4 linked regions of the Saccharomyces cerevisiae S288C genome follow. The main gene of each other region encodes a partner of the protein of the gene in region 3 in a complex. Each region holds a gene or a part of one and is shown on either strand. Other genes may lie near its edges. A codon is read from its position in the direction of its gene.

Region 1 (5,697 bases), on a different chromosome or scaffold from region 3:
CCTTATGAAATGCGTATTATATATAAACTGTAATAAGAGCTAAGTTGAATTGAAATCTACGATACTTGATGTTGACATTATAGCACTAGTTCCCAGGAAACCCTTTCGAAAAACACAGCAAAAACAAGAGTACTGTAACCAATGTAACATCTGTACACCAGGGACCCACACATTACCAAAATCAAAATTATTTTTCTAATGCCTGTTATTTTTCCTATTTTTCCTCTGGCGCGTGAATAGCCCGCAGAGACGCAAACAATTTTCCTCGCAGTTTTTCGCTTGTTTAATGCGTATTTTCCCAGATAGGTTCAAACCTTTCATCTGTATCCCGTATATTTAAGATGGCGTTTGCTTTCTCCGTTGATTTTTTTCCTTCTTAGTGATTTTTTTGCATTAAATCCCAGAACAATCATCCAACTAATCAAGAATGCCTTCCAGATTCACTAAGACTAGAAAGCACAGAGGTCACGTCTCAGGTATGTAGTTCCATTTGGAAGAGGGAATGAAAGAACCAAGACGGTGACTTTTTTTTTAGTGTTGTGCAACCAATATGTCGTGTGTATATCATGGTACAGGAGAATGTCAATCAGCTAAGTGTACTCAACATATTTCTTTGTGTTTTGATTGCGAACTTTGTATTACCATCTCACTGTTGAGACGGCTTATTTGAGGTAATAGCTCGAGTAAATGTACTCTTCCATCGCAAACTGAGCAAAAAGAAAGTGTGCATAGCCTTTGTCATACTTCTCCTTTATTATACCATGATATTCAGAACAGTCATACTGTCTACTCATTTTACGGCTATAAAAGGTAACTTTCATTTAGATTATGGAAAGCACTAATTATCGCTGTATCAAATGGTTGTAGAGAGCGCAATTATGAAAAAGAGTTACCACGTTTCTTTTGTTTCGATAAAATGTCCAGTTGAAAACCTGTTTTACTAACGATTTAAAAATTGTATTTCATTACAATATTTTTTTTGTACAGCCGGTAAAGGTCGTATCGGTAAGCACAGAAAGCACCCCGGTGGTAGAGGTATGGCCGGTGGTCAACATCACCACAGAATTAACATGGATAAATACCATCCAGGTTATTTCGGTAAGGTTGGTATGAGATACTTCCACAAGCAACAAGCTCATTTCTGGAAGCCAGTCTTGAACTTGGACAAATTGTGGACATTGATCCCAGAAGACAAGAGAGACCAATACTTGAAATCTGCTTCTAAGGAAACTGCTCCAGTTATTGACACTTTGGCAGCCGGTTACGGTAAGATCTTGGGTAAGGGTAGAATTCCAAATGTTCCAGTTATCGTCAAAGCTAGATTCGTCTCCAAGTTGGCTGAAGAAAAAATCAGAGCTGCTGGTGGTGTTGTTGAATTGATCGCTTAAGCGCATCAACAAAAACTCTATGTATTTTCCAATAAATTATATATCTTCAGTTTAATCTAATTCAACATCTACTTCTGTATTATTTCTATCACCCATTTTCACCGTTTTTTCGTCTTGTCTATTTTGAAGTTACCAGTGGCAGATCCCAACGCTTTTATCGCTTTTTTAAAAGATTTTCAAAATCCATATATAAACATAGGGTCCAAAAAGAAAACAAATAACAAAACAAGAAAACCTATTCGAGGTAAAGACCAGGAAAAACAAAATGACTGCAGTTAACATCTGGAAGCCAGAAGATAATATACCTAGGGAGATTTTGGCAATTCTTTCGAAACCTCACCCAAATTATCAGTTAGCGTTTTTGAATATTATACAACTTTTGAAAACGCAAAGAAGAACTGGTTGGGTTGACCATGGTATTGACCCATGCGAAAGTATATCTGACCATATGTACAGAATGGGTTTAACTACCATGCTGATTACGGACAAGAATGTTGATCGTAACAAATGTATCAGAATCGCACTTGTTCACGATTTTGCGGAGTCATTAGTTGGTGATATTACACCTAATGACCCAATGACAAAGGAAGAGAAACATCGCAGAGAATTTGAAACTGTCAAGTATCTCTGTGAAAGCATAATAAGGCCCTGCAGTGAAAGCGCATCTAGGGAAATTCTTGATGACTGGTTAGCATACGAAAAGCAGACCTGTTTGGAAGGAAGATATGTCAAAGATATTGATAAGTATGAAATGTTGGTTCAATGTTTTGAGTACGAACAAAAGTATAATGGCAAGAAGGATTTGAAACAATTTTTGGGAGCCATCAATGATATAAAAACTGATGAAGTTAAAAAATGGACACAATCTTTACTGGAAGATCGACAAGCCTTTTTCGACAGTTTGAAGGAGTAATAATGTGGCCTTTTGAAAGAAAAGTTAGTGCTTTTTTTTCTTTTCTCAAACCTTCACCTGGTGGTGCGTATCATTTATAATAACATCTTGATGCTTTTCAACGAGATAGTGCCCATTTTATTTTGCATGTATTATACTTCCAGCACCCGGTGTGCATTATATGTAACTTTAGAAATAATCTTTTGTATATTATTCGCGATTGAATGTGCGTGCTGCATTATCAACCAAGTTTTAATATATCTGTTTCTCTTATTTATTGTTAGTTAAGTCTTCGGCAAAACGATGGAAAAAATCATGAACTGAATAGAGACAAGTAAACCAAATTATAAACAAGGTTTCCCTTCTGAAGAGATACTAAGGAAGAAGAAGAACGACCCAATAATATTTCTGAATATGCAACCATTTGATAGTGGGCATGATGATTTAGTTCATGATGTCGTTTATGACTTTTACGGAAGACATGTGGCAACATGCTCTTCTGATCAACATATTAAAGTTTTTAAATTAGACAAGGACACGAGTAATTGGGAACTCAGTGACTCATGGAGAGCTCACGACAGTAGTATCGTGGCCATTGATTGGGCCAGTCCAGAATATGGGCGCATCATTGCTTCAGCCTCTTACGATAAGACGGTAAAATTATGGGAAGAAGATCCCGACCAAGAAGAATGCTCTGGCCGTCGTTGGAACAAGCTGTGTACCCTGAATGATTCCAAAGGATCACTTTATAGTGTAAAATTTGCGCCAGCGCATTTGGGCTTAAAATTAGCTTGTTTGGGTAACGATGGAATCCTCAGACTTTATGATGCCTTAGAACCTTCTGACCTAAGGTCATGGACACTGACTTCTGAGATGAAAGTGCTATCTATACCACCAGCAAATCATTTACAGTCTGATTTTTGTCTCTCTTGGTGTCCTTCGAGATTTTCTCCTGAAAAGCTCGCAGTCTCTGCATTGGAACAAGCGATTATATACCAAAGGGGTAAAGACGGTAAACTTCACGTTGCAGCAAAACTTCCCGGTCATAAAAGTTTAATAAGAAGTATCAGCTGGGCTCCTTCCATTGGTAGATGGTATCAACTCATTGCAACAGGTTGCAAAGATGGTAGAATTAGAATTTTCAAAATCACAGAAAAACTAAGTCCCCTGGCCTCAGAGGAGTCTTTAACTAACTCAAATATGTTTGATAATAGTGCTGATGTTGACATGGATGCACAGGGCAGATCAGACTCAAATACCGAAGAGAAAGCTGAGCTACAATCAAACTTGCAAGTTGAACTTCTAAGCGAGCATGATGACCATAATGGCGAAGTTTGGTCCGTGTCTTGGAATTTAACGGGTACAATCTTAAGCAGTGCTGGGGATGATGGGAAGGTACGTTTATGGAAAGCCACTTATTCAAATGAATTTAAGTGTATGTCAGTAATTACTGCCCAACAATAAATAAGAATATATGTATACATAACATTATATATTGGTACTTTATACGTGTGCATTATTCTGTATAATACGAGGCAACAGATGAATCAAGAAAGATGATGCTTTTAAAAAGCTCTTACAAATATAATGATATTACATCAAATGATATTATTATTCTTGATATTGGGTATTCTTTCGAATTATATCAAGCTTCCCTTCCCTCGCCTTTTCGCCTGGAAATTTTTCAATGCCGAGATTAAAAAATTTGTCAATGAAAATGCATTCTACTACTTAATAAAGAGGTGATGAGCTTATAAGCCAACTTCTTTTAAACACAAAACTAAATCTGATATTGAGGACCCCCACCAACTATGCCACCAAAAGAAGCTCCCAAGAAATGGAAGGCGCCAAAAGGGCCAAAACCTACCCACCGTAAAAATAAAAATAAGCTTGAATTAGGCAGAGCTATTAAATATGCACGTCAAAAAGAAAATGCCATCGAGTATTTACCTGATGGTGAAATGAGGTTCACTACCGATAAGCATGAGGCCAACTGGGTTAAATTAAGATCTGTAACTCAAGAATCAGCTTTAGATGAATTCTTGAGTACAGCTGCACTGGCAGACAAAGATTTCACGGCCGATAGACATTCAAATGTTAAAATTATTAGAATGGATAGCGGTAATGATTCTGCGACATCTCAAGGGTTTTCTATGACTAATGAGCAGCGTGGAAATCTTAATGCGAAGCAAAGAGCGCTTGCTAAGGATTTGATTGTTCCAAGGAGGCCTGAATGGAACGAGGGCATGTCCAAGTTTCAGCTTGATAGGCAAGAAAAGGAAGCGTTTTTAGAATGGAGAAGAAAATTGGCACATTTACAAGAAAGCAATGAAGACTTGTTGTTAACACCGTTTGAAAGAAATATCGAAGTTTGGAAACAGTTATGGAGAGTTGTTGAAAGATCAGATTTAGTTGTTCAAATTGTAGATGCGAGGAATCCGTTGCTGTTTAGATCTGTCGATTTAGAAAGATATGTAAAAGAGTCAGATGACAGAAAAGCAAACTTACTGCTAGTTAATAAAGCAGATTTATTGACCAAAAAGCAACGTATCGCTTGGGCAAAGTACTTTATCTCCAAGAATATTTCGTTCACGTTTTACTCTGCATTGAGAGCTAATCAATTATTGGAGAAACAAAAGGAAATGGGGGAAGATTATAGAGAACAAGATTTCGAGGAAGCTGATAAAGAAGGGTTCGATGCTGATGAAAAAGTTATGGAAAAAGTTAAAATTCTGTCCATTGACCAACTGGAAGAATTGTTTTTATCAAAAGCTCCAAACGAGCCTTTATTGCCACCTCTGCCCGGTCAACCTCCACTGATTAATATTGGTTTGGTTGGTTATCCAAATGTAGGTAAATCCTCCACTATTAATTCGCTCGTGGGTGCCAAGAAAGTTTCTGTTTCATCCACGCCTGGTAAAACAAAACACTTCCAAACTATTAAGTTATCTGATTCTGTCATGCTTTGTGACTGTCCCGGTCTTGTCTTCCCAAACTTTGCATATAACAAGGGTGAGCTCGTGTGTAATGGTGTTTTACCTATTGATCAATTACGTGATTATATTGGTCCAGCAGGTTTAGTAGCAGAAAGAATACCAAAGTATTACATTGAAGCGATTTATGGTATCCATATTCAAACCAAATCAAGGGATGAAGGTGGGAATGGGGATATACCAACTGCTCAAGAATTGTTAGTCGCATACGCCAGAGCTCGTGGTTATATGACTCAAGGTTACGGTTCTGCTGATGAACCAAGAGCAAGTCGTTATATATTGAAAGATTACGTCAATGGGAAATTACTGTATGTCAACCCTCCGCCCCATCTAGAGGATGATACACCTTACACTAGAGAAGAGTGTGAAGAATTTAACAAAGATTTATATGTGTTCGACAGATTACCGGACACCAGAAAGGAGC
Region 2 (8,565 bases), on a different chromosome or scaffold from region 3:
CTTTGCAAAAGTTGTTTCACGAAATCAACAACGATGAATGTGACGTGGGAATCTTCGACGCCACAAATTCGACCATCGAAAGAAGAAGATTTATATTTGAGGAGGTTTGTTCGTTCAATACAGATGAGCTTTCTAGTTTCAATTTGGTGCCCATAATCTTACAGGTGTCATGTTTTAACAGAAGCTTTATCAAATACAATATCCACAATAAATCGTTTAATGAAGACTACTTAGACAAACCTTATGAACTTGCCATCAAAGATTTTGCAAAGAGATTAAAACATTACTATTCGCAGTTTACACCTTTCTCCCTTGATGAGTTCAATCAAATCCATCGATATATCAGCCAACATGAAGAAATCGATACGAGCTTATTTTTCTTCAATGTTATTAATGCGGGCGTCGTTGAGCCACATTCTTTAAATCAAAGTCATTACCCTTCAACCTGCGGCAAGCAAATTAGGGACACCATTATGGTTATTGAAAATTTCATCAATCACTATTCTCAGATGTTTGGTTTTGAATACATCGAAGCTGTTAAATTGTTTTTTGAAAGTTTTGGAAATAGCTCAGAGGAAACTTTAACTACACTAGACTCTGTTGTTAATGATAAATTTTTTGATGATTTGCAGAGCCTAATTGAAAGCAACGGATTTGCTTGACTGATACTTTACCATACGGGAGTTGAATATCGGTACTCCTTTATTATATTTATGATCCTCTCCAGAACTCCATCTACCTCCCGCCTTTTAATGACCATTTTTACGACCTTTTCGCATGTTTTTCTATTCTTTTACAGTTTCCTTGGTACCGCTAGTTACATTATGTTATCTTGAAAAGGCTACTATACACTTTTTTTGCACTACTGAAGCAGCTTTCAAAAGCTCTTTATAGACTTCAGATAGTATTACTTTTTCCTTAAAATTCTATCTATTTGTAAACGACCAAGAGTGTCATTATGTATACTATATATCAAAAAGTTCCATATGTTGTCTGAAGTTCCTTTTATCTTCCGCCTTTCTATCTTTCTGTTACAATTATTCAACAGCTTTATTTTTCTAATTTTGGAATTAGTTGCAATGCACTGGCACCGATGGCGTTTCTGAAACTAAAAATATTCTTCATGCCCTTTTATGAATTTAGGATACAATGTCCATTCCAATGTAAATAACGCAACCATAATCCAACACAATAGTGGGATATACTGGATTCCCACTGTGTGTGCAATAACTCCAGCCAAATATGGAATGGCTGCACCACCACAACCACCAACGGCGACGGCAACCCCAACCCCGCTCACATGTAGTCTTTTGGGCAATACTTGTAATGCAACTATACTTGCGTTTGGGAATAATGGTCCGATAAACGTACCACAACAAAAAACAACAAAAAATAACACGACGAAATAGAAAACTGAGCTTGAATTGATCAACCCAACAAGCACAAATAAGGTGTATGAAGATAGAGTTAAAAAAGCGTACGCTTTGCTTGCTTTATACTCGTTTTCGAAGAATCTTTCAGTAACAAATCCTAGACACAACCTGCCTACAGTCAAACCTGTCCAAAACGATGCCGCTATGTATGACATAGCAACCTTATTACTTGATTTAGTTTCCAATAAATAACTAAAGAACCATGAACCAGTTGTAATTTCAGCACCTAAGTAAAGGAACAAATACAATGAGTACAAGAAAATAGCAGGATTTCTTAAAAGTTCAAAAAATCCTGGGCTCGCCTTGGTAGATTCCATCAGCGAGTTATCACCCGCTTCTTCCACATCATTGTTGCTTTCTTTGTTTTCCACAGAGCAGAGGTAGTCGTATTTACTTGCAGTTTCAAATTTAAAAGCTGGGAAGATTACAATCATGCCTATTATAGAAAAGAACAGAGGAATAAGGAAAAAAAGAGACCAATGACCCCATTCAACAAAATATGAAACTAAGGGAGGAGTAACCATAGCTGCTGCCCCGTAAAGACCATGCATGATACCCATGAGTTCATTCTTATGGACTAAAAGACTGCCCATTAAAACATTACCGGTAGAATCTAAGATGCCGATCCCTAAACCAAGAGGAAGGCCACAAAACATACAAACATAGAAACTAGAAGGTGCAGTTGCTAAAATGATAAGAAATACTATACACAAACCAGCTGCTAGAAGCATACCACCTCTCATACCAAAGTGCTTATTCAATCTCTCTTTTGATAAAGACGCCATCACATAACCACATAATTGGACTATAAATACGTTTGAGACATCTACCCGCGATATATGATAGTATTCAATTAGCGTAGGAAGTAGTGCACCTACTGTTTGATCGTTCATACCAAAGACTACGAACATAATCAAGCATGCTATCACCTGCAGCTTTACTAGTGGTACAGTTTGATAGTTTAGTGGATATGTTTTAACTTTCTCGCCCTGCCAGTCAATTTCTTTGATTAAGTTTGTATTGTTAGGTAGACTATCTTCATCTTGAGAATTTCTTCTGGAGTCTGATGATGATAGCAGATTTTTCAACTCTATTGGGTTATGATGTGAAATTTCAGTTGTATACATTCCATAATCATCTACCTTTGGTGGAACCGAGGAAGCATCCATGCTGAAAACTTATATATGGATTAAATTATACTATGAATCCCTAGGATCTTATTCTTGGTTTCTTACTATAGCATTTTAGAATACTGTTGAATGTCTAGCTATGCATGATCGGAGAGTTTAAATTTTTCTGTCTCGGAACGTTCTTTTTAATTTGTCAAAAACATCGATATATAACGATGATTACTGAAAAAGGAAAACCGATTGATAATACATATGGTGCGATTGCTGGCTGAAGGCGAGTGAGCTATTGAGTGGATTTAGTTGAAAATCATGAGCTTATCACCACACGTAGAAAATGCTTCCATTCCCAAGGGGAGTACCCCGATACCAAAAAACAGAAACGTTAGTTCTATAGGCAAGGGCGAGTTTCTTGGATCTTCGTCAAGCAACAATTCTTCTTTTCGAATGAATCATTACTCAAATAGTGGACAACCTTCCGTGTTAGATTCTATACGGCGACCTAATCTAACTCCAACTTTTTCTTACAGTAATGGGGTTTATATGCCTGAAAGTCACAGAACTAGTTCATTCAACGATAGTTATTTGCCATATGATAAGAATCCTTACGCAAAAACAACCGGAAGCATGAGCAATAAATCGAACATGAAAATCAAAACAAAGAAAAATGCAATCAACACAAATACAAGAAAGTCGTCTGGACTCATTTACACCACCAAAGTGGATAAAGAATTATCTAGTATAGACAAAGTGAATGATCCAAACATTAACGGTCTTGTTTGTGCAGGTAAAACTCATTTGGGGCTCTATAAATTCTCGCCCTCAGATAGATCTATCAAATGCGTTCATGATTTCATAACACCTAATAGCAACACCTCAACAAGGGGAACGACATCCCTTTTGCCCAAGCTGAGCAAAAGAACAAGACAGAACAAATTTAGTACCATTGCGGATGTTAAGACTGGATTTAATAATTACAAGAACTGTATTGCAGTGTGCAACAATTCTACGGCGATATCGATATATGATCTCAATAAGAGTTCCTCGATAGACAATCCCTTGATAACATCCTTATGCGAACACACTAGATCTATCAATAGTTTTGACTTCAACATGGTCGAATCAAACCTAATAATAAGTGGTGGACAAGATAGTTGTGTAAAAATATGGGATTTACGTTCCAATAAATCTAAAAGCTCAAATAGATCTGACATTAGTATAAATACCGCATCTGACTCAATCAGAGATGTAAAATGGATGCCCGGTTACAATTTTGCATCTAAGAACGATCAAGGTTCATCAACGTATGGTAATTTAAAAAGCGGTTACAAATTTGCTTCTATTCACGATTCGGGATACTTGCTAAAGTTTGATCTTCGACAACCTGCCCAATACGAAAAAAAATTAAATGCTCACACAGGACCCGGTCTTTGTTTAAATTGGCATCCCAATCAAGAATACATTGCTACAGGTGGTAGAGACGGTAAATGCTGCCTCTGGTTTGTTGGCGACAATGCCAATGCCGCCGAAAATACAGTCCTCAATTACGGGAACTCTCCCTCGTTACATGCCCCCAATACGTCCTTGAACAATAGCGGCTCGCTGGCATTTCCCAAACTAACAATTAATACGGGCTATCCAGTCACTAAATTGAAGTTCAAGCCTGCTTATAGTAGTAATATATATAATTCATTACTAGGAATATCGTCAATGGGTGACGAAGCTGAAGTTCGCATCTATTCCTTGGCAAGAAAGTACATTCCAAAACATGTTCTCCTATCAGAAACGCCTTCTTTAGGATTAGTATGGTGGGACGAAAACTTGATCTTTAATATCGATAAGGGGACCCGTATAAATGGCTGGGACATTAACAAAGAACCAACAGTGCTCGAAAATTTGAGCAAAAATACAACAACTTGGAGAGATTTGGATGGTAACGGTTTACTTTCAGTTGACCAAGAGATAGGCTCATATGAGGTGGTAGAACCGGAGCTTCAACCTACCTCAAGTACCACATGCAAGAAGCATCCAGGTACAATAAAAAACCCGAAGAATGGCAATCCAGAGAACCAGGGAATAATTGGAGGGATAAAAAAAGGATTTAGCCATACTGGATTAACAAGTTTTACGCCAGAGAGGCCGCCTACTTTAAAAGCAGGCCCAACGTTTAGCACAAAAAGCTTAACATTAGCATCTGGAGCATCTTCTTTTAACAGCTCTTCCGCATCATTGACATCCCTGACGCCACAAACTGAAAATAGAGAAGAAATCGCCATTGAACCGCCTTGTATCATCACTTTGGATATACCGCAGATCTTCAATAACATAAGATTAACCAAAATCGCACATTCAAGAAAAAAGAACGTCATTTCCGAAAGTTCTTCTATGAAAAATTCTCCAGTAGAAAAGTTCAAATATTTGGCGAGACAGCTCAAGTTTTCGTATATTCGAGAGCATAATGTTTCAGACAGTGCAGACACTGCATATAAAAATGATATAGAGAACATTGACGTCGTTAAAAACGCAACCGAAACACATGGTGATAATACTACTACTACCAATAATAATGATGATGGTGATGATGATGATGATGATGATGATGATGACAAAATAATCGAAAGTCACCTTTTGAAAAAATACAATTTTCCAGAAAATAATACATGGGCTACCTTAATGAATGAAAAAGTAAATAACAAAAAATCCAAAAGAAATTCCAGTAGTTCGAGGGAGTTTGACGAGAAGGATGTCAGATCAAGTATATCTTCCATTTCTGCAAGTAGGCAAAGTCATGACAGAGCTAGGAAGATCGACAAGAACGTGGAAGCAGAACTGCAAGAAAAAATACAAACACTGGTAGATTTGATATCTATTGCAACGCATAACGCATCTGTTTATCTATCCATAGATGATCTAACCAACTTCAAAATCTGGATCTTGATAAGAGATTCATTGTTATGGGACTTGAAGTGGATGACCTCCTCCCAAATTTCATCAGATAACGCATCTAATATGGATGCCAATGAAAGCTCCGATTTCGAAGCTGGAGAAAATCTGAAAACAGGAAAAGAGTTCCCAGAGGAGGATGGTGCAGGGACAAGTGGGGCTGAGTCGTTAGTTGAAGAAAGGCCGCAGGCATTTCGTGCTAACTCTGATGAACCAAGTGATGCCGAAAAGAAACCTGTTTCTAAGCTCAAAGAGCAGCTCAAAAACACGGAAATAATCCCCTATGCGCAGCCAAATGAGGATTCAGATGAAGTTTTAACTAAGCTAAAAGAGCTACAGAACCAACGCTTGGAGTCAAGGACTAAAATGGGAGAAACAGTGAGTGACGATGTGATTATAGAGGAAGACGAACATGAACATCAAGAAGAAGAACAGCCTCATGACTCACCGACTAAGTCAGCACAATTTCACGCGTCTCCTATCGCGAAAAGTATACCAATATTGCAGAAACGTGAGCACCGCAAGTCATTCATAGATACTTTCATGTTGCATTCTCCCAACGGTTACAATGGAGATACGGACATAGGTAACGAAGATGACAATATATCTCCTAGGTTTACTTACAACAGCGTAAGCCCACGCAGTAAGGTTTCGTCGCTACAAAGCTATGCCACAACAACCTCGCAACTAGAAACTTTTAAAAAGCTTTCTTCCCATACAGCACCAATAATCGGATCGCCCAGACATGCGCCATCACGGCCAGATAGCATTGGTAGGGAACAACTGTCTTCTTCATTGACGAAAAAGCTTGCCAAATGCAAGAAAATTATCGCTGACCCACCCTGGGACACGAAAAAACTCATCAAACAACTCTACAATCAAGCTACTGAGACTGGGAACGTCGTATTGACGGTGAATATTTTATTTCTTTTCCAAACGATATACCAAATAACAGAAATCGACATTGCAAAGGACGCAATCGCTCACTTCTTGTTATTATTACATCGATACGAACTCTTCGGCATTGCTGCAGACGTCTTAAAATACTGCCCATTCGAAGATATCATGGGTTCTGAGGGTGACCAATCTTCCATTCGGTTGTTTTGCGAACGCTGTGGTGAGTTAATCACTAACGAAAGTTCTAAAGAAAAGCTCAGAGCGGAAGCTCAGCAGACGGGCAATAAGAAGATCATGGACAAGTTTGGATACTGGTATTGTGACTCTTGTAAGAAGAAGAATACATCTTGTGTTCTATGTGAAAGACCATTAAAGAAACTGACCATGGTCATCCTCCCCTGTGGACACGAAGGTCACTTCCAGTGCATACAAGAATGGTTTCTCGATGAGAATGAACAAGAATGTCCCGGCGGTTGCCCCGGTGTTGCATTCATCTAGGTTCTCCACATAATGTATAGTTTAACATATCATCACCATTGTTTAGTTAAATCGTTTAGAGTAATATTACCCGTCAAAAAGGTCGGGTAAAATTTTATTACCCTCTCCGAAAAGAAAATTTTTTTCGTCGTCAATAGAGTTTAATGCAATACCTGATAAAGAGAGTTTTACATTGCAAGAGGTAGTGTTAATTCTGGATTTATATTGTACATATGTGTTTGTGTTAGTGCTTGAGTACTTCCTAGGAGTTTTACGAAAAATAAAAGCATTTTTGTCTGAAAACTAGTGAAAGGAAGAAAAATGTCCGTTGAAGAAGTTAGCAAGAAGTTTGAAGAAAACGTTTCAGTCGATGATACCACAGCTACTCCAAAGACTGTTTTAAGTGACAGTGCTCACTTCGATGTCAAGCACCCATTGAACACCAAATGGACTTTATGGTACACAAAGCCAGCCGTCGATAAATCTGAGTCGTGGTCTGATCTATTACGTCCCGTCACTTCATTCCAAACTGTTGAAGAATTTTGGGCTATCATTCAAAATATTCCTGAGCCACACGAACTACCATTGAAATCAGATTACCACGTCTTCCGTAATGACGTTAGACCTGAATGGGAAGATGAAGCCAATGCTAAAGGTGGTAAATGGTCTTTCCAACTTAGAGGAAAAGGTGCTGATATTGATGAATTATGGCTAAGAACTTTACTAGCAGTTATTGGTGAAACAATTGATGAAGACGACTCCCAAATTAACGGTGTCGTTTTAAGCATTAGAAAAGGTGGTAACAAGTTTGCCTTATGGACTAAATCTGAAGACAAAGAACCACTATTGAGAATTGGTGGTAAATTCAAGCAAGTTTTAAAATTAACCGATGACGGGCATTTGGAATTCTTTCCACATTCCAGTGCCAATGGTAGACACCCTCAACCATCAATCACCTTGTAAGATAGTCTGAATTTTTCTTAAGATAATTGTTATTTTAATCAAAATTATATATATAATCATAATATAATATATATACATTCTACTAGTTAGGATGCACGTATAAACTCATCATGTTAACACAGAAGGAAAAGTCAAAATGAAGGAGAAAAAAAAAAAAAAAAAAAAAAAAGAGAGGATGACGTTAAAAGGACAACTCTTATTAATTATATCATTCAAGGTATGAAAGACGCACCACATGTACATATCACGTAAGATGTTCCTATGTGTCTCTGACCGAATGGCATTTTTTATACTACAATATAAAGATGAAAAAAAAAAAAACAATCTATACATGACAATTTACAAAGTATATTTAAGCGTAAACCGCTTCAATAGCCTTTTCAAAAGCATCCATCCCTTCTTCGATTAGTTCGTCTTCAATCGTTAATGCGGGAACAAATCTAACGGTACTCTTACCAGCGGTAATGATCAAAAGTCCCAATTCTCTGGCCTTTTTGATGACCTCGGTGGGTGGTTCGACGAACTCAGCACCAAGCATCAAACCTTTTCCTCTGATAGTCTTTATTTGATTTGGATATTTGGCTTGAATTTCGCGCAAGCGCTTTTGTAAGATATCACTCTTCTTAGAGACTTGTTTCAAAAAAGCTTCGTCTGCTATGGTATCCAAAACATAGTTGCTTACAGAACAGGCCAGCGGATTACCACCATACGTGGTGCCGTGGTCA
Region 3 (6,611 bases):
ATCCTTAGATATTATACCTGGACCCCAGGCACCTGGGTTTCTCCAATAACGGAATCCAACTGGGCCGGTAACCCCAGCACCACAAACCATACAAAAACAGTATATTAGAAACCCGATAATGGCTAAAACTTTGATGGAAGCGACCCAGAACTCGAATTCACCGTAATATTTGACAGGGAACAAGTTCATTATTGTGATAATTACCCAAAAAATACTAATCCATGCCGCCAGTGGAACTTTGTACGTCCAAAATTGAATGACTTGGCCAACTACACTAAGTTCCAGGGCAAAAGTGATTGCCCAAGAAAACCAATACATGTAACCATTGGCCGCACCAAATGCTGGAGAAAGGAATCTTTGTGAGAAAACTGTGAAAGAGGATGTAACAGGGATGAATGTAGCCATTTCACCCAAGGACTGCGTGACAGAATATGCCAAAGAACCCATAAATAAATATGATATAAGAGCGCCCACTGGGCCGGCGTTGGTCAGAGGTGTGGATAAACCAATGAAAAGACCTGTACCAATAGTACCACCAAGGGCAATCATACCAATATGTCTTTGCTTAAGCTCTCTCTTCACTTCAGCGTTCTGTACTTCTCCTTCATCTTCATCACCTATGCCATCCTCCATAGAGAACGTATCCTCGCCATTTACTCTCGTCGGGAAAGAGCGCAATGGATACAATTCTTTACTTTTCTCATCTTTCAATGGTATTGACCCACGTCTGTGGTGTGTTTGTGAAGCTTCAACGTCGTGAAAGAGGGTTGTGACCGGCTCATTGTACATATGCTTCTCCTCTATGTCGGCGTCTTCTTTTGAATTTGTCATTGCTATGCCTTTTTTTTTTTTTGTTTTTACAGGAGTTAAGAAGTCTGAAGAACTCTGAAATAAACTTTCGATTGACGACAGATTAAAAACTGGATCCAACTATAAGTATAATAGTAACTTATATATTTCTGTTCCAGATATATACGTAAAAAAAAGAAAAGGATAATTGATGTTTTTGCAAAAAGGGATTCCCTGATTCGGTTTACTCTGTTCGCAACCACTCTTCTTTCTGCTAATTTGTGCTTTATCTCGTATCATTCTCTTATCTACTTATCTTAACCTTATCGTCTTCCTCGAAATTTTCATTGATAGAGACAACTGCAAAAAAAGAAATTCAAAAAAGCCGTATGACTCACCCGGAAACCACACAGAAACCCTAGATTTCTATAGGGCAAATTTCAGGGTTATACTAAAAGATATATTATTGACCTTGGTTATTCTTCAAGTTCGCCCTATTGAAAATTCGGACACTTTAGGGTTTGGAATCTGTTAAAGATATAAGTAAATATGATGATAAAGAAATAGGTTTAATTTATACGCACTTGCCAGTAAGTGATTGATATTGCAGAAGTAACATGAATACGGTTCTGTGGCCTTTGCTGTTTGCCGTTATTTTATTTCTTTTTTTTGTTTTTTTTCTTTTTTTCAGCACTATCAAGGCTAATAAGGGACAAGAGTTCTTACTCAGTGTGAACGTGTTCTAAATAAGTTCTTGTTCTAATTAATTGTAACTATTTTTATGCATTTCTTGTAAGAGGAACTGGAGTAATCGTATCTCGGAAATACATAGAGGTGCGTATTCATAATGGGCCCTCTATCACTTGTTGCCTGTATCTCCGAATAGGACTGATAAGTGATAAAAAAAAAGAAAACTGGGTTAGCTTGAAGCGACTTTCTTTCTCTACTAAAGGGAATGGTCAGATCATCAGGCCAACGGCAAATGCTAAGCTATTTCCAAGGGTTTGTGCCCATACACACAATATTTTACTCCGTGTTCCATCCTACAGAAGGTTCTAAGATTAAATACGAGTTTCCGCCAAATAATTTGAAAAATCATGGTATTAATTTCAACACATTTAAAAACTACATCATACCGAAGCCTATATTATGCCACAAGTTGATCACTTTTAAGTATGGTACATATAGGATTGTATGTTATCCTGTGACAATCAATTCTCCAATATATGCTAGGAATTTTTTTAGTTTTAATTTTGTATTTGTATTCCCATATGATTGTGAGACGTCTCCCTACGAACCAGCTATTACTAGGCTGGGCAAAATGTTCAAAGTTCTTGAAGAACAAAATCAATTGCTATCCAAATCGGAAAGAGATCCAGTTTTCTTCGATTTGAAGGTGTTGGAAAACTCCACAACAACACCCTCCACTGCAGGTCCTTCATCCACGCCAAATCCTAGTAGTAACACCACACCAACTCATCCTACATCCGAAAAGGATACAAAGGATATGAGAAGCAGCAGATACAGTGACCTTATCAAGGATTTGGGCCTTCCGCAATCCGCATTTTCCATACAAGATTTATTGATGAGAATTTTCCAAGACCTGAATAACTATTCCGAATGCCTCATACCAATTGATGAGGGAAATGCAGTAGACATAAAGATTTTTCCGCTGTTGAGACCACCGACAACTTGTGTCTCATTAGAAGATGTGCCCCTGTCGTCTGTAAATTTGAAGAAGATTATTGATGTCAACTGGGATCCAACCATGATGAGTATAGTCCCTTACATTGATGGCTTAAACAGCATTGCCAAAATTTCTAAACTAAGCAACAGTGATCCTGGCCTAGTGATAGAGTGCATACGTCACTTAATATACTATAAGTGTGTTACATTATCAGATATTTTCCAATTTTCTAACATATACGCTCCTTCTTCATTAATTAGGAATTTTTTGACTGATCCACTAATGGCTAGTGACTGTCAATCTTATGTTACGTTCCCAGAAGTGTCTAAAATATCGAACTTGCCCTTAAACAAAAGTCTGGGTTCAGGTGACCAAGACTCACCATCATTTTCTGTACGAAGAAAATCCAAATCATCTAGCATACCGTCAAACCCGGATTCTAGAACTACATCTTTTAGTTCTACCAGTAGAGTTTCTCAAAACTCCTCCTTAAATTCCTCTTTTTCATCAATTTATAAAGACTGGAGGCAATCACAAACCTCCTGCTCGAGTTCAAATATTCATGTCATCAACAATCGTAACCGATTCCTACCAACAAGATCATGCCTATTTGACCTTTATAGGTCACTTTCACAAGGTCAAACGCTGAAAACATGGTATGAGTCGAAATATATGATTTTAAAAGAAAATAACATTGATATAAGAAGGTTCATAACGTTTGGCCTGGAAAAACGTATCATTTACAGGTGCTACTCTTTTCCTGTAATGATAAATGCAGGTTCACGTGAACCAAAAGAAATGACACCAATAATAACAAAAGATTTAGTGAATAATGATAAGTTACTTGAAAAAAGAAATCACAATCATTTGCTTTCAGCCACAGGGTCTAGAAATACGGCACAATCCGGCAACTTGAAACCAGAAAGACCATCAAAGGTTTCATTTGAAATGCAAAGGGTAAGTTCGTTGGCAACAGGCAAAAGTACTATGCCGAAACTCAGCGACGAAGAAGAAGGTATTCTTGAAGAGTCTATTAGGAATGCCGAAACATTTGATAAAATTTGCGTTTTACTGAGCAAGCCTAAATTAGAAGTCGAAAGCTACCTAAACGAATTAGGAGAATTTAAGGTAATTAATAGCTGAGTTAAAATTAGAGAAATTCATTGTCCATCAAAATGTTTTTTTTTTTTTTTAATATTACAACTTATTTCCGTAAATAAAGATAGTACACACGAATCCAAACGTTTATATAGTTAGCTCTGTGAAAATTTGATTTAGGTTCATCTCTTGGTGTGTTTGGTAGAGGTGGTTTCACACCCTTCTCTTCTGTCTTGCCTTCTAATGAATAACTGAGTATTCTTTACATACTTTGTTTTTATTAACCACTAGTTTGAATATATATTCGACTGAAAGGCAATATCAACTATTCAATCTTTAACATTTTTCTCGAGCCCTCATTGTCCACATTTTCACTGGATTTGTTTTCATCTTCAATTGCATGCTTTTTGGGCGATATTACACTTTGCACTGAATTGCTATTTATGTTTGATAACCTTAACGGCATTTTCTTACTTAGATTTGGTATTTCCTTCAATATGTTCTCGATCATTTCGTCTTTGGTAGCGTTTTCCTTGTTACCATAGTTTTTCATTATGTTTTCAATCGTATTATAGATATCATCCACATTAGTTATATGAGAGTGTGTTGATGTTATCGAATTTTTAATGTTATCTTTCAACATGTTATGCTTGTTAATAAGCTGCTCAAATTGATCATTAAATTTGGTATTGTTCTTCAAAAGGGATATAGCGTTCTCCGATTCTTCCACTTGTCCTTTCATGACTGAAATAGACTCATTCATCGAATTTGATGATGTATCAACAGTACTCTTGATTTGCGATAGCGTCGCTGCCATGCTATTATAGAATTCGTTATTCATGGAGTCACAATCATTTATCAGATCAAATGAATTTTCCCATTTAACGCGCTTGGGTTCAAACAGATCCATTTCTTGATCAATAACCGCGCTGGTTGCAGTTGTCAGATTCTGCATTATTAGTTTTTTATTTTCGTCAAGGTGGTCATTTAGGACCTTTTTAAAGTTCTCAACAAACTCGTTTGTTCTCTTCTCAATATTTTCATAAGTAGAATCCACATGACGATTCAGTAATTCTTGATGGTTATTCTTGAAAAAATGGTTTTTTAAGTACTGTTTCATGTTGTTATTTTCTTCGCTAATATCAGAAAGATTCTCGGCTATATTTTTATAAAATTTTTGGAAATCTACTCTTATTATGTCGATTTTCTCAATAACAACATTGAAGAATTTAGGAGATTCGTTTAAAATTTTCTTCACACAGTCTTTGTACATTAGTTCAGCTTTTTCTTGCATGGTTCTCATAAGAGTCAGTACTTCATTTTTGATCATATCAAGATTTGGTTGGATATTAGTCTCTTGAAGAATACTTTCCTGTTGCATAGTGTTTAATTGTAAAAACAGTGTAGATTTCAATTTTTTAATTTCTTTAGTAATATGCATTTCAAACTTTTGATTAAGGTCAAGTTCTCTTTTTTTGTAATCATGTAGGGCCATTTGCATTACCTCAGTCAACTTCTGTAGTTTGTTATTAAAATCGGATATTTCAATTTCAGTTTTATGCTGTTTATCTAGTTGTGCCCTTAAATGATCTATGGTAGTTTTCAATGATTCTATTTGGCAATTTTGAGATTGAATAGTTTCTTTTGACTTCAATTTATCTTTTACTAGCAATGCATTTTTCGATGTCAAACTTTCAATTTCTCTTTTACATTCTTGAACTTCATTTTTATAACTTTCTAAATCACTGTTCAAATTTTTGTAGTGATCTTGGCTCATATATATTCCTTCTTTGGACTTTGTAGAGAGTAAATCGGATTTAATCTTTGCTAATTCCATAGTTATATTTTTAACCAAAATATCCTTCATTATAAATGAACCCAGTTGCGGCTTGTTCTTAATGTTTTTAGCCTTCGAAGCATACTCTAATGTACTGCAGGTTTCTTCAGAAGTTACCTTTGCAGGCGATATAGTAGCAATTAGTGCGGTTTTCGTATTACCACCCAGGGAATCTTGAAGCAGGCGGGTCAATTTCGATTCACGGAAAGGTATATGGCCGCTTTTATCTACGAGTGCGTTTATGACCCTGCCCAGCGTCAATAGACTTTGGTTGATTGAACCAGCTTCTTTGGCACGTTGATTTAATGCTCCGGATCTGTTGATGTTTTCTGAACCAGCTAAATCCACAAGATTCATTTTGGAAATTCTAAATAGTTCATCCTGATGCTTCTTATACAAAGTGATTGTAAAAATGGTATGAGATCTACTGGAAAAATCGTTCATTTTAGTGGACGCTACTTGCCTATGCTTTAAGCCTTTTTGTAATAGGTTTAGCCCCTCCATAGCATTTGTTATGTGAAATTCTTGCAAATTCTGGATGTATATACCATTAGTTTGGTCATTTGGAGCCATCGAACTTCTTTGACCGTTATTTGTGTTGGTGTTACTAGAAGCATTATTAGTGGTAGAGCCAGAGTTAGAGGAAGAGTTGTTCCTGGAATTCACTGCCTGTTGTTGTTGATACTGTTGCTTGATGGTATTCGGCAGTGATTTTGTCCTTAACCTTTTTCTTAATAGAGCAGCTTTAGGTGTTAGATCATTTAATGACCTCGGAGAACTGTTCCTAGAATTACTCCTGGAACTACTAGCACTGTTGCTAGTGGTATTATTTGCTGTGCTTGAATCAAAAATCCTCAATTTTTTCATAAATTGGCCGTCAAAGCCAGTATTACTAGAGCCGTTGCTATTGCTGTCCAAGAGGTCCTTCAATTCTTCGTTGTAGAGTTCAATGAACGAACATTTTACTACGTAATCGTTCTGTTGTAGTTCCAATGTGTCAAACAACTTCAAAAGAACCCTCGGTATAATTCCTGCTGCATCGCTCAATTCACCATTATATAACTTTTCGTCGCCCGTCATTGTATATGTTTTACCTGTTGACGTCATACCATATACCAGTACGGTGCAATTGTAACCTTTAATGAAATCCTGGAATAATGGGCCCGCCACTTCATCAAAAATTAGATCCTGGGAAGCGCC
Region 4 (9,684 bases), on a different chromosome or scaffold from region 3:
CTTTTCTGTTTTCAAAAATAGATGGCCAGGATGGATCATCGTCCTGTTCTTCTGGGCCCTCCAGCCAAACTTCGTGGTAGGCCGTAGTCTTTGGTAAGAAATGATCAGAAATCAATTTTCCCATATCAGCGATTTGTTGGTGAACCTTGGCATTGGTTGGTAGAGCAGAAACCATGACATTTCTGTTCACGTCACCTGCAGCAGCTAATGTATCCATAAGAACTGCATTCATTCCTCTCAATGTGTGTTTCAAGTTCTTCTTTAGCACACCATGAATCTGGAAGGTTGCCCTTGTTGTTAATTTCAGGGTACCATTGCCTGAAGTATCAGATAAGTGATCCAGAGCAAGCCATTGTTGTGGAGTGGTCTTACCACCTGGTAAACGAGCTCTTGCCATAAACATATAGTATGGCTCTAAGCCTTGTGACTTACGTATTTCTCTAATGTCACGATCGTCTTGGGTGTAAATACCGTGAAATTTCATTAATTGTTCATTAGCGTGAGTAACACCACCTGAAGAAGTATCCTTTAAGTTCTCACTGATAGTACCTCTCAAGAAATTAGATTCTCTCTTAATATCCTCGTTTGTAACAGGTTTTGGCTCATCATCAACAGCAGCGCCGGAAACACCAAGAGCTTCCCATAATTTAGGTTCCCACTCAGAATAAGCAGTTTGGAAACCATCAGCATCTTGATCATCACCCAGTCCCAAGGGAATTAGGGCTTTGGCACTCAATAATTCCAAGCGCTTAAATAAATCCTGTGAAGGCTTGTTAAAATAATGTTTATCTTCTTTACGTGGCCAATACTCAGAATCACCGAGACCAAAAACAGCAACATTCAAACTAGCTAAATCCAAGTCGGTGTCATTTTTCAGAGCTTCCCAGAAAGACTTACCGTCTTGGGGGAATTCACCTTGCCCAGCCGTGGAAGTAATGAAAACTACATTCTCTTCACCAGGTAATTCTTCCAAAATAATGTCATCCATGGACAGAACAGTAGCCTTTAAACCTCTTGCAGATGCCCTTGCTGCTAGTCTCTTTGCCAAGTTTGCAGCATTACCACCGTCAGAAGCATAATAGACGTGTAGCGGTGGGCCGGACAAACCCTCCAATAACTGATCGAAGGCAGCCTTGCTTCTTTTTTCTTGTTTCCTTGTCAACGCATCACCAGCAGATTGCTTTAGATTTCTTGACAAAGATGGATCTTTTCTGGTTAATAGGGTAAGCTTATTCTCACGGTCTAAGAAGTCCTGTAATTGTTTTCTGATAACCGAAGAATCCAAGCTAAATGCCTCCTTATCTGTTGATGGATCGTCATAAACAGGATTAAACCTATACAATGGCCAGTAACCAGATTCAACGGCGTTTTTGGTTTCCTTTAAGACTTCTAATGGAGTATCATTTTCGGAATTATACGGCAAATAAGCCAAGACAATAGAAGGACCATTGTATTTAGATGCCTCTATTATTGCAGTCAATAGTTGGGTGTAAGAAGCATATACTGCTACAGAGGCAACATAGGCACTGTAATAATTCATGGCGTACAAACCAACATCTTTCTTTCTATCCTGGTTTTGCTTTCTATGGTCATATGGCTCTGAATCAATCAATAAAACATTAATGTTTTTACGGGAGGATAAAACCTGTTGAATACCTGAGTGACCCAAATCATAAGACCAGGCATCGGAGCCAATTAGCCAGCTTGATTTGAAAATAAAAGAATCGCTTGTTGGAGCTATCTTTAAGAATTTTAAGACAGTAGAGGAATCTTGATTAGATTGTAATAACTGAAATATTTCCAAACCTGTCGCATTGGCCTCTTGTAATTGAGCTTCGTCAAGATCGCGTCCATTGAATGACAACCATTTAGATAATAGTTGAACAATTTTATTTGCATCCTCGGACAAGTAAAGACTTGGATCAAGAGAGGTTTTTGCTAAGCTGATCAATTCTTCACGCTGGGCTTCTTGTTTTAAAAAGCGTCCAAAACCAAATTCTGGATTACTTGGTTCAATTGTCTCACTGGAAAATTGATTCAAAATTTGTAGATTTGATGAAAATAACTGTTTTAGCACTTTGATATAGGCGTCTTCTAAGTTCACAACTTTTTTGACAGAAGAAATAAGTTGAGTAACTTCAGCTTGTTCCTCAGCCTTTTCATTGGATTCACCTAAAAATAAGTTATTATCTGGTTCCTTCTTGTTAATATTCGATATGACGGTGTTGATAACGTTGCCATAATCATTCACATTACCAATATTAGTCAACACTACCTGCTCGATGTTCCTAGAAACTAATTCATTAAAATTGCCAAAGAAGTCCAAAAGAAATGGTTGAAATTCGTTTGATTGCGATTTCTTAGAGACACCCTGTAAAACGGCGATTTTGGTAACAGAAGATGGCAGTATTTCCAAGAACTTGGAAAAATTCCATGGTCTGTATACTCTAATCTTGATCAATCCTACGTTTGAAGGCAATACGCTACTGAATTCCGCGTCATATGGTGACAGGTTAACAATGACAGTGGTAATTGACTCTTTACCTTTAACCAGTTCAAAATTTGTCAATGAATCAGTAGCTTCTGATAATGCTACTTTAGTCTCTTCGTTAGCAATCTCCAAGGTAGGAAAGTCGATGTCTTGTTCAATAGCTGTACTCGTGCCAATTTTCTCCAAGTTAAGAAAATGGAAAACTGGGGTCAGAGAACTTGTAGCAATCTTATAAGAAGAGTCCGCGTTTGAAATTGCAGTTTGCAAATCAGAAGATATTAAGATGGGGAAAGAAAGATCCTTTAACGCAGGAATTGCGGAATAATCTTGCAAATTCAAATCCACTGTAATCACCAATGGAAGTTTATTAGGAAGAGAATATAGATGGTGGATGGATTTGACCAAAGTAGTTTCATCTGTAAAAACGGTAGTTAAAATGTCCTTAGAGAGTTGATCTTTGATGGTATTCAATGGATCTTGATTGTTCAATAGATGAGTAGCATCTGTGGCAACAGATTCTAGCCCTTTGAAGGATGAATGACTATTTTTTGTGCTAGTAGTGTAGAACACTTTATTTTGGGGAGCACTAGAGGAATATTGCGCCAACAATTGTGGGAGCGTCAAGAGGTCAGAAGCAGTCATTCGCCAATCTTTTGTTTTTCTCTGGTTCCCGTTCCCTACTGTTACTTTATTAGTATATAAGGGATCTGAATAAATATCAAGACGATGGAAAAAAAATAACAAGCAAAGGAACCTTTCTATATCCCAATTTTATTTCACATTAAAAACTATCGTCTTCCAACACTTTATATAACTGCTTGCAGCGGCCAGTAATTCGTCGCATCTCCATGACTCAAATTTTCCAGTGTCTCTTAGCAGTTAAACCATTCCTGCCTCTGTGTGGTGGTAATTGTGGCATTATGAGTTAAGAGATAATACGCACGTGATGAAATTCATTCTGTGAAATATCACGTGGACAAATTATATTACCCGGATTCATAAATCCACGTATTTTACCTGCATCTTTATTGAGTGCTTAGTAAAAGTCAGTTGGTGAAATTCCGCAGATAAAACAGCATATTAGTTGCCTGAAAATAGCCTTATGTGTTGGTTTGATACGTCTTTGTCATTATATACCCAAAGGTTTGTAGTTCATGTTGCGGGTTGGTATGAATAAATTTTTCGTATTTAGTGATTATAATACTTATTACCCATTTCGGCGGCTAATAAGGAATCTGCTAAGATAGGTAAATGTACAATACCATCAATGGCTTCTAAAAGTTTTCAAAGAAGTGGGATAAGGGATGAAAGTTGTGCGTGTGTTGGTTACTTAGGTTCTAATTTGGCTTCAATTTGAAGTGAGATGTTTTGTTTAACATTAGTTTCAAATTAACAGCTTTTGTGAGAAAATATATTTTGGATGAATAGCAGAAAATAGAAATCTGGAAATAAACAAAACAGAGCCAAAATTCTAAGCTTAATAACATGAATATTTGTTTATCTAGCATCTTGTTCCTCCCACTCTTTTTCCGAAAATATGGCTAGCCAACTTAGGTGAATGGGGAAGGGTACTAGATTCATTCATTTATTTCTATTCAAGGACAAGAACTTTTAACATAGTAAGACCTTTATGTTAGTTTGGTGCGGCTGACAAATTCATAGCTAATGTGCTAGAGCTCTTATATTGGTAATTACTAATCCTTCATTGCTATTATGACTATCACATTATAAGGTAATGAAAAATTAAATCATTGTGTACGGATTAAGTCCTTTCTCTAAAAGAGATCACGTGACTATTTGAATCACTATCTATGTTAATCATTATTGTTTAAAAGATAGTAAGTGACAGAACAACGAATTGTTTCTGTAACTACTTTTTAAGCAGGGAAATAACTCAGCACTGACAAGGGACACTTTTTAAGGATGTTCGCTAAATTGCATGGGAAGAAACAAAGACCAATTTCTTCCATCAATTCACAAACTCCAAGGACTAGCAATACTACTCACGCAAATAGCATATCCTTATCATCGGGTAATTTGATAGTAGGTTCCAATAGAAATTTAAGACAAAAGAAAGAGCAGTTTGGTTCTCAACAAAGGGCTTCCGGCAGAAAGCTGATTTCAAATAAGGAAAATGACGATAACGTCAACAATGGTGGTGACAACAATTATGACAATGGGGAACGGGTCCATCGCCATCATATTCCAGGACTGAAAATAAAGGCGTATCAAGCTGAATTAGGCTATCATGAGTCCCGATTTTCCGAGAATTTAGTGATGCTAAATCTAGTTGAGTTCCCGGATATAAAACCTGGTGATTTGGTAGAATTGAAAACATATCACAAAAATCCATCTGCATCGAACGGAGATAAGAAAATTTATTTTATTGCAAAAGATTTTGACGGAGAGACTAAAAGAAGGGCAAAAACATCTAATGTTTCAATACTTTCGGGTCAACTGCAAACTTTGTTAGATTTGCCTTCTAGGTCTAGGATATGGATAAAATTGAAACCAAACAAATTTGACTTACAGGCAGATGTGGTAGAGTTTAATATCAAAGATTGCCTACTAAATAGAGGTGATATGTGGGTTCTATCATCTAAGCTGGTAGATACATGTGTGTTTATGGATCAAAGACTGGCATTCTTAGACTCTATCAGAGGTACTATTAAGGGAATTTATCGAAATGGTAAGAAGATTGTTTCTGGATATATTGGCGAACAAACAAGGATAATTTTTCGGTCCGAATCTGCCAGATTAATTTTTTTGATTCAAATAACTGATGAAATGTGGAACTTCGAAGAAACTGGTGAACAATTATTTCAAAAGATGGTTAATTCATTTTTCCCGAAGATCTTCAAAAAATGGAAAGATGTGGACACCCACCATACTATCACTATAGCCTTCGCTATATCAATGGACTTGTCTGATACATCATTCAAGGACTTAACACCCGGCGAATCTTTGAAAAATTCACAGGATTATTTTAGGATAGTTGTAGATCAAGTCAGTATTATCCATTGGGTTGATATTATGGAAACATTAAGAGAAGAATTTATGGAAATCAGAAAAGATTTATTAAACAAGCAAACGGATAAGGGTTACAGTGTAGCGAATGGAAGATTTTCACCTGTAATCAAGTCGAATTTTCTCGAATTGGTCAATTTTGCCACGACAATTTTAACGGATCCTTTCAAGCAATTAGATCTTCGACACACTACAACGCACGTCATGATTATTTCACCAGGGTCTGGATTATTTGACGTTGATTATAGTTTATTAAGGCTAACAGGAAAAAAACTACTCTCTCTTGAAATGACGATGGATTTAATATGTCTTTCAAAAGCTCCATTGCACATAGTTCCACTTTTTAGGTACCGAGACTTTGAGAACAAGCTTCATCATTGTGTACCGCTTTGGTTAAGTGTTTTCTTTTGGAATGATCATGACAAAAAGAGTAACTCAGAATGGACTCCAAGATGTAAAATTTATGACTTACAAATGATGGGGATTACTGAAAATGAGTTAATTCGGGAAGTGGATGTTGAATATTTACAGCTGAACAAGAAAGTCAAATCACTATCCGAGTTTATGAATGATTACGACAAAAATGCCTTCGAGGTGAAAATTTTATGCGCTGGCTCTAATACGAAACAATCTAAGAAATTAAATTCAAAGTTTGATACCGTCTTCGAGAATGATGTTGTTGTGAAGGCAAGGAAAATCCCGGCAACAGCAACAACAACACACGGTAACACAAAATTCATATGGAGAGGTCCAAAAGTTGCTCTCCCAGCCATTAAGGATATTCAAAAACCAAACGTAATACCAGATCTATCAATAAAAACAATAGAGGCCTCTTTTTATGATGATTGTAATACTACAAATGATAAAATTAGCACTCCCACCACTTCTAACAATGACAATCTCGAAATGAATGACTCATTGGTCTCTGTGAGATCTGCTGATAACCAAAACACATCTTTGGCGCTGGATTCGCTCAAAGGACTAAGCAAAAGGAACTCATTGAAAGATTTTACTCAAAGAGTAATTACAAAATTTATTTCGAACATAGACACAAGTAAAAATAAAAAAATAAAGTCAACATTACTCAGAGATGATGTGGATAACTCACCTTTAGGTTCAAATACACCACTACCATCTTCTGAAAGTAAAATAAGTGGCCTGAAATTACAACAAAAAGGCCTGGCAGATGAAAACGTTATCAGTAAACGTGGAAATTTGATAATAAAGAAAAACCTATCCATTTTTGGGCTACCTAGTAATGAAATCATGAGTGGTTCACCCTCCTCATATTTAGGCTCATCACATACCAGAACATCCTCTAAACTTTCTAATATGTCAGACAAGGCTGCTTTCATTACAGAAGGGCAAAAATCAAAACATGATGACTCGAACACTTATAGCCTCACACAGCAATTGAAACATCGTATAAGTGAAACTTGGGTGGATATTAAAAGTCCTTCCATTCCGGTAAGTAGTGAATTTGCCAACGAATTATTGCCTATACGTTGGAAAGATGTATGGCCAAAATATGTGGCCAGAAAATATAGTAAATGGAGGTCTTTTACAACCCCAGCAGAGTTACCAATCACAATTTCTGATTTTCCATCCAAGGATGATTTTGATAGGAACTTCATCTTCAGAAATCACTCAGTGACTTTAAACACAGATCAAGAACAATATAATCAGACATACAAAGACTTACTTCGTGATATGATTTATATGCGACTGTTAACTGGTTTTCAAATCTGCGTGGGCCGACAAGTAGAAAAAATAGAACTTTCTAGGGAAAGTGGTGAAAGTGAAACTGTAGTCAACAAGTATTTAGATTTCAATCAAAATGATGCGTTCAAACTTTATCTAATGATCGACTCTGAAATACACAGAATAACATGCTCGTCAAGTGGAATTATTGATGTGGAGAGGTATTTGAGAAAAGATGAAGCAAACTTGTTTGATCAGGTTCCTAGTTATATTCCGTTGGTTAAAACGAGATACGAGAGCTCATTTCGTGATGCTATGATTGACCCACTTCATGTTAAAAGAGAATCTTTGAACTGGAATCAAATTGATCAGGTTCTAGCAGGTTATGGCGATAACTTAATAGATAGGAAATGGCACGGATTTCGAGCTAAATATGTGGTGTTACCAACAGATATCCCTCCCAACACATATTCTATGGTTATCAATGGTAAAAGCGAAACTTTAAACCCAGAAGAAATCAGAGTCGAGGGTTTGAGAAGATTAATTGGCTCAATAACGAGGTCAAGACTAAGAACAGAGAAAGAAAAAAAAGGAAGAAAAACTAAGAGAGAAGAAATACAGCCTGAAGTTATGTTTTACACCGGCCCGCTTTACAACTTCATTAATGAGCAACAAACATCTTTAGAAAGCTCGGCTATAAATTTTAAAGATTCAATTTTTGTTAATGATAATAACCTTTTAAACAGAAATGTAGAACTATCCAAGTTGGCGTATCAAATTCAACGTGGCGAAGATCGCATTACTTTAGTCAACAGAAAATGGCACTGGAAAAAGCATGAAAAGTGTTTTGTTGGCTCGGAGATGGTTAATTGGCTCATAAGAAACTTCTCTGATATAGATACTCGAGAAGATGCAATTAAATATGGGCAGAAGGTGATGAAAGAGGGATTATTTGTTCACGTTTTAAATAAGCACAATTTTTTGGACGGGCACTACTTTTACCAGTTCTCACCTGAATACGTAATGGACACTAATAAACTAGAAAAAACAAACTCCCATCGCTCTACATTATCCGATCCAAAGCAGATGTTGAGAAAAGCATCCACTGGTAGCTCAAACGATCCAAGCGCTATGACTCCTTTTTCTTCAGTAGTACCTGCTATAAGCGCTTCGAATGCTTCAGTTGCTGACGCCAAAGAGCCATCACGCCCTATTTTAATGCTGAGTAACTCTCTTGTTATCGATGTTGATCCCGCGGGAAAATCCTCGAAACAAGAATCGTGTACAGTCCATTATGACAGAGTTCATAACCCCGACCACTGTTTTCACATAAGATTGGAATGGTTGACTACCACCCCAAAATTGATCGATGATTTGGTTGGGAACTGGTCAAGGTTATGCGAAAGGTACGGTTTGAAAATGATTGAAATTCCTTGGGAAGAACTTTGTACTATCCCTTCGGTCAATCCATTTCACTCTTTTGTGGAAATTAAGTTAGCTATCAATCCTTGGGAAGATCCTGAGTTCAAGGATAGGGAGCTTTTCGCTAAAAGCAAATTCTACTACCACGTTTATCTTTTAAAGGCATCTGGGTTTTTATTAGACAATAGGGCATCCAAATTTTTACAAAATCAAGATATAGAGTTTGACATCATGTATTCATGGGGCAAACCACAGTTCAAATATGTTCAATATATTCATCATACGGGTGCTTACGTCGCGGAATTGAGGGAAAATGGCTGCCTATTTTTAGCTCCTAACAACATTTATATATCCAGAGTGAATCCGGGAAACATAATCGGGAAAATTCATTCTGCTTCAAGCTCTTCATTAGATGCTCAAAAAGTGATCCTAAATTTCAAATCAACTTGCTTGGACTATCAGAAGTTAAGGTCAATTTTCCTTGACGCAAAGGAAATGTGGATTACAGGAAAGATTGTAGAAGATTGAGTAGCCCCATGACATGGATGAGTTTCTTCACAAAGTAAATAATATTCGAACGTGGATAGTAAAGCATAATGTTATCTATTTATATATAAATATACCTATGTTTTTATATGTCTGTTTACTGATCTAAAGTCTTTGAGCAATCTTGATAACATCACCCAAAACACCAGCGGCAGTAACGGCAGCACCGGCACCGGCACCTTGAATGACAACAGGATTGGTGTAACGCTTAGTCTTGATGGAAATAACGTTATCTGATCCCTTCAATGATGCGAATGGGTGTGAGTAATCGTACTTTTCAATTCCTACAGACACAGATTTGGTGGCAACATCGACTTTACCAATGAATCTCAATACCTTATTTTCAGTGGCAGCTTCCTTCTTCAATTGAGTCAAATCTTTATCGTAATCAGATAATTTTTCCAAGAATTCATCAGCAGACTTGACAGATTCCAATGGTTTTGGAATCAAAGACTGGACAGGGAAGGAAGTTGGAGATTCAACTTCCACACCAGATA

Evidence for each region.
Region 1: NPR2 (region 3) and SEH1 share a complex: the UniProt entries of both Saccharomyces cerevisiae proteins name them as parts of the SEA complex.
Region 2: NPR2 (region 3) and RTC1 share a complex: the UniProt entries of both Saccharomyces cerevisiae proteins name them as parts of the SEA complex.
Region 4: the proteins of NPR2 (region 3) and IML1 are in contact, whole or in part, in a cryo-EM structure (PDB 8AE6), measured with the Saccharomyces cerevisiae proteins. Residues at the interface, in NP_010852.4 of Saccharomyces cerevisiae: Pro106 (codon at 2,087), Arg110 (codon at 2,099), Met114 (codon at 2,111), Val117 (codon at 2,120), Leu118 (codon at 2,123), Glu120 (codon at 2,129), Gln121 (codon at 2,132), Asn122 (codon at 2,135), Glu220 (codon at 2,429), Gly221 (codon at 2,432), Asn222 (codon at 2,435), Ala223 (codon at 2,438), Asp225 (codon at 2,444), Lys227 (codon at 2,450), Phe229 (codon at 2,456), Pro234 (codon at 2,471), Pro235 (codon at 2,474), Ser247 (codon at 2,510), Ser248 (codon at 2,513), Val249 (codon at 2,516), Asn250 (codon at 2,519), Lys253 (codon at 2,528), Ile254 (codon at 2,531), Ile255 (codon at 2,534), Asp256 (codon at 2,537), Val257 (codon at 2,540), Asn258 (codon at 2,543), Trp259 (codon at 2,546), Asp260 (codon at 2,549), Pro261 (codon at 2,552); in NP_012672.1 of Saccharomyces cerevisiae: Glu288 (codon at 5,276), Asn291 (codon at 5,285), Phe292 (codon at 5,288), Glu293 (codon at 5,291), Glu294 (codon at 5,294), Thr295 (codon at 5,297), Gly296 (codon at 5,300), Glu297 (codon at 5,303), Gln298 (codon at 5,306), Phe300 (codon at 5,312), Gln301 (codon at 5,315), Asn305 (codon at 5,327), Pro309 (codon at 5,339), Phe339 (codon at 5,429), Lys340 (codon at 5,432), Pro344 (codon at 5,444), Trp367 (codon at 5,513), Val368 (codon at 5,516), Met371 (codon at 5,525), Glu372 (codon at 5,528), Arg375 (codon at 5,537), Glu376 (codon at 5,540), Met379 (codon at 5,549), Pro403 (codon at 5,621), Ile405 (codon at 5,627), Lys406 (codon at 5,630), Leu445 (codon at 5,747), Pro476 (codon at 5,840), Leu477 (codon at 5,843), His478 (codon at 5,846).

What each region holds. Positions count from the first base shown.
Region 1 is NC_001139.9:310,540-316,236, forward strand, and holds SEH1 (Seh1p), read left to right. Parts: upstream 1-2,694; coding exon 2,695-3,744; downstream 3,745-5,697. Other genes in the region: 60S ribosomal protein uL15 RPL28, read left to right, coding at 428-476, 988-1,388; YGK1 (5'-deoxynucleotidase), read left to right, coding at 1,654-2,301; ribosome biogenesis GTPase LSG1, read left to right, coding at 4,092-5,697. UniProt on the Saccharomyces cerevisiae protein: Functions as a component of the nuclear pore complex (NPC).
Region 2 is NC_001147.6:59,658-68,222, reverse strand, and holds RTC1 (Rtc1p), read left to right. Parts: upstream 1-2,872; coding exon 2,873-6,898; downstream 6,899-8,565. Other genes in the region: PFK27 (6-phosphofructo-2-kinase), read left to right, coding at 1-662; BSC6 (Bsc6p), read right to left, coding at 1,109-2,602; CDC33 (translation initiation factor eIF4E), read left to right, coding at 7,199-7,840; ARG8 (acetylornithine transaminase), read right to left, coding at 8,193-8,565. UniProt on the Saccharomyces cerevisiae protein: Component of the SEA complex which coats the vacuolar membrane and is involved in intracellular trafficking, autophagy, response to nitrogen starvation, and amino acid biogenesis. May be involved in a process influencing telomere capping.
Region 3 is NC_001137.3:32,636-39,246, forward strand, and holds NPR2 (nitrogen permease regulating protein NPR2), read left to right. Parts: upstream 1-1,771; coding exon 1,772-3,619; downstream 3,620-6,611. Other genes in the region: arginine permease CAN1, read right to left, coding at 1-831; kinesin motor protein CIN8, read right to left, coding at 3,900-6,611. UniProt on the Saccharomyces cerevisiae protein: Component of the SEA complex which coats the vacuolar membrane and is involved in intracellular trafficking, autophagy, response to nitrogen starvation, and amino acid biogenesis. Mediates inactivation of the TORC1 complex in response to amino acid starvation.
Region 4 is NC_001142.9:680,153-689,836, forward strand, and holds IML1 (GTPase-activating protein IML1), read left to right. Parts: upstream 1-4,414; coding exon 4,415-9,169; downstream 9,170-9,684. Other genes in the region: MET5 (sulfite reductase (NADPH) subunit beta), read right to left, coding at 1-3,133; HOM6 (homoserine dehydrogenase), read right to left, coding at 9,293-9,684. UniProt on the Saccharomyces cerevisiae protein: Component of the SEA complex which coats the vacuolar membrane and is involved in intracellular trafficking, autophagy, response to nitrogen starvation, and amino acid biogenesis.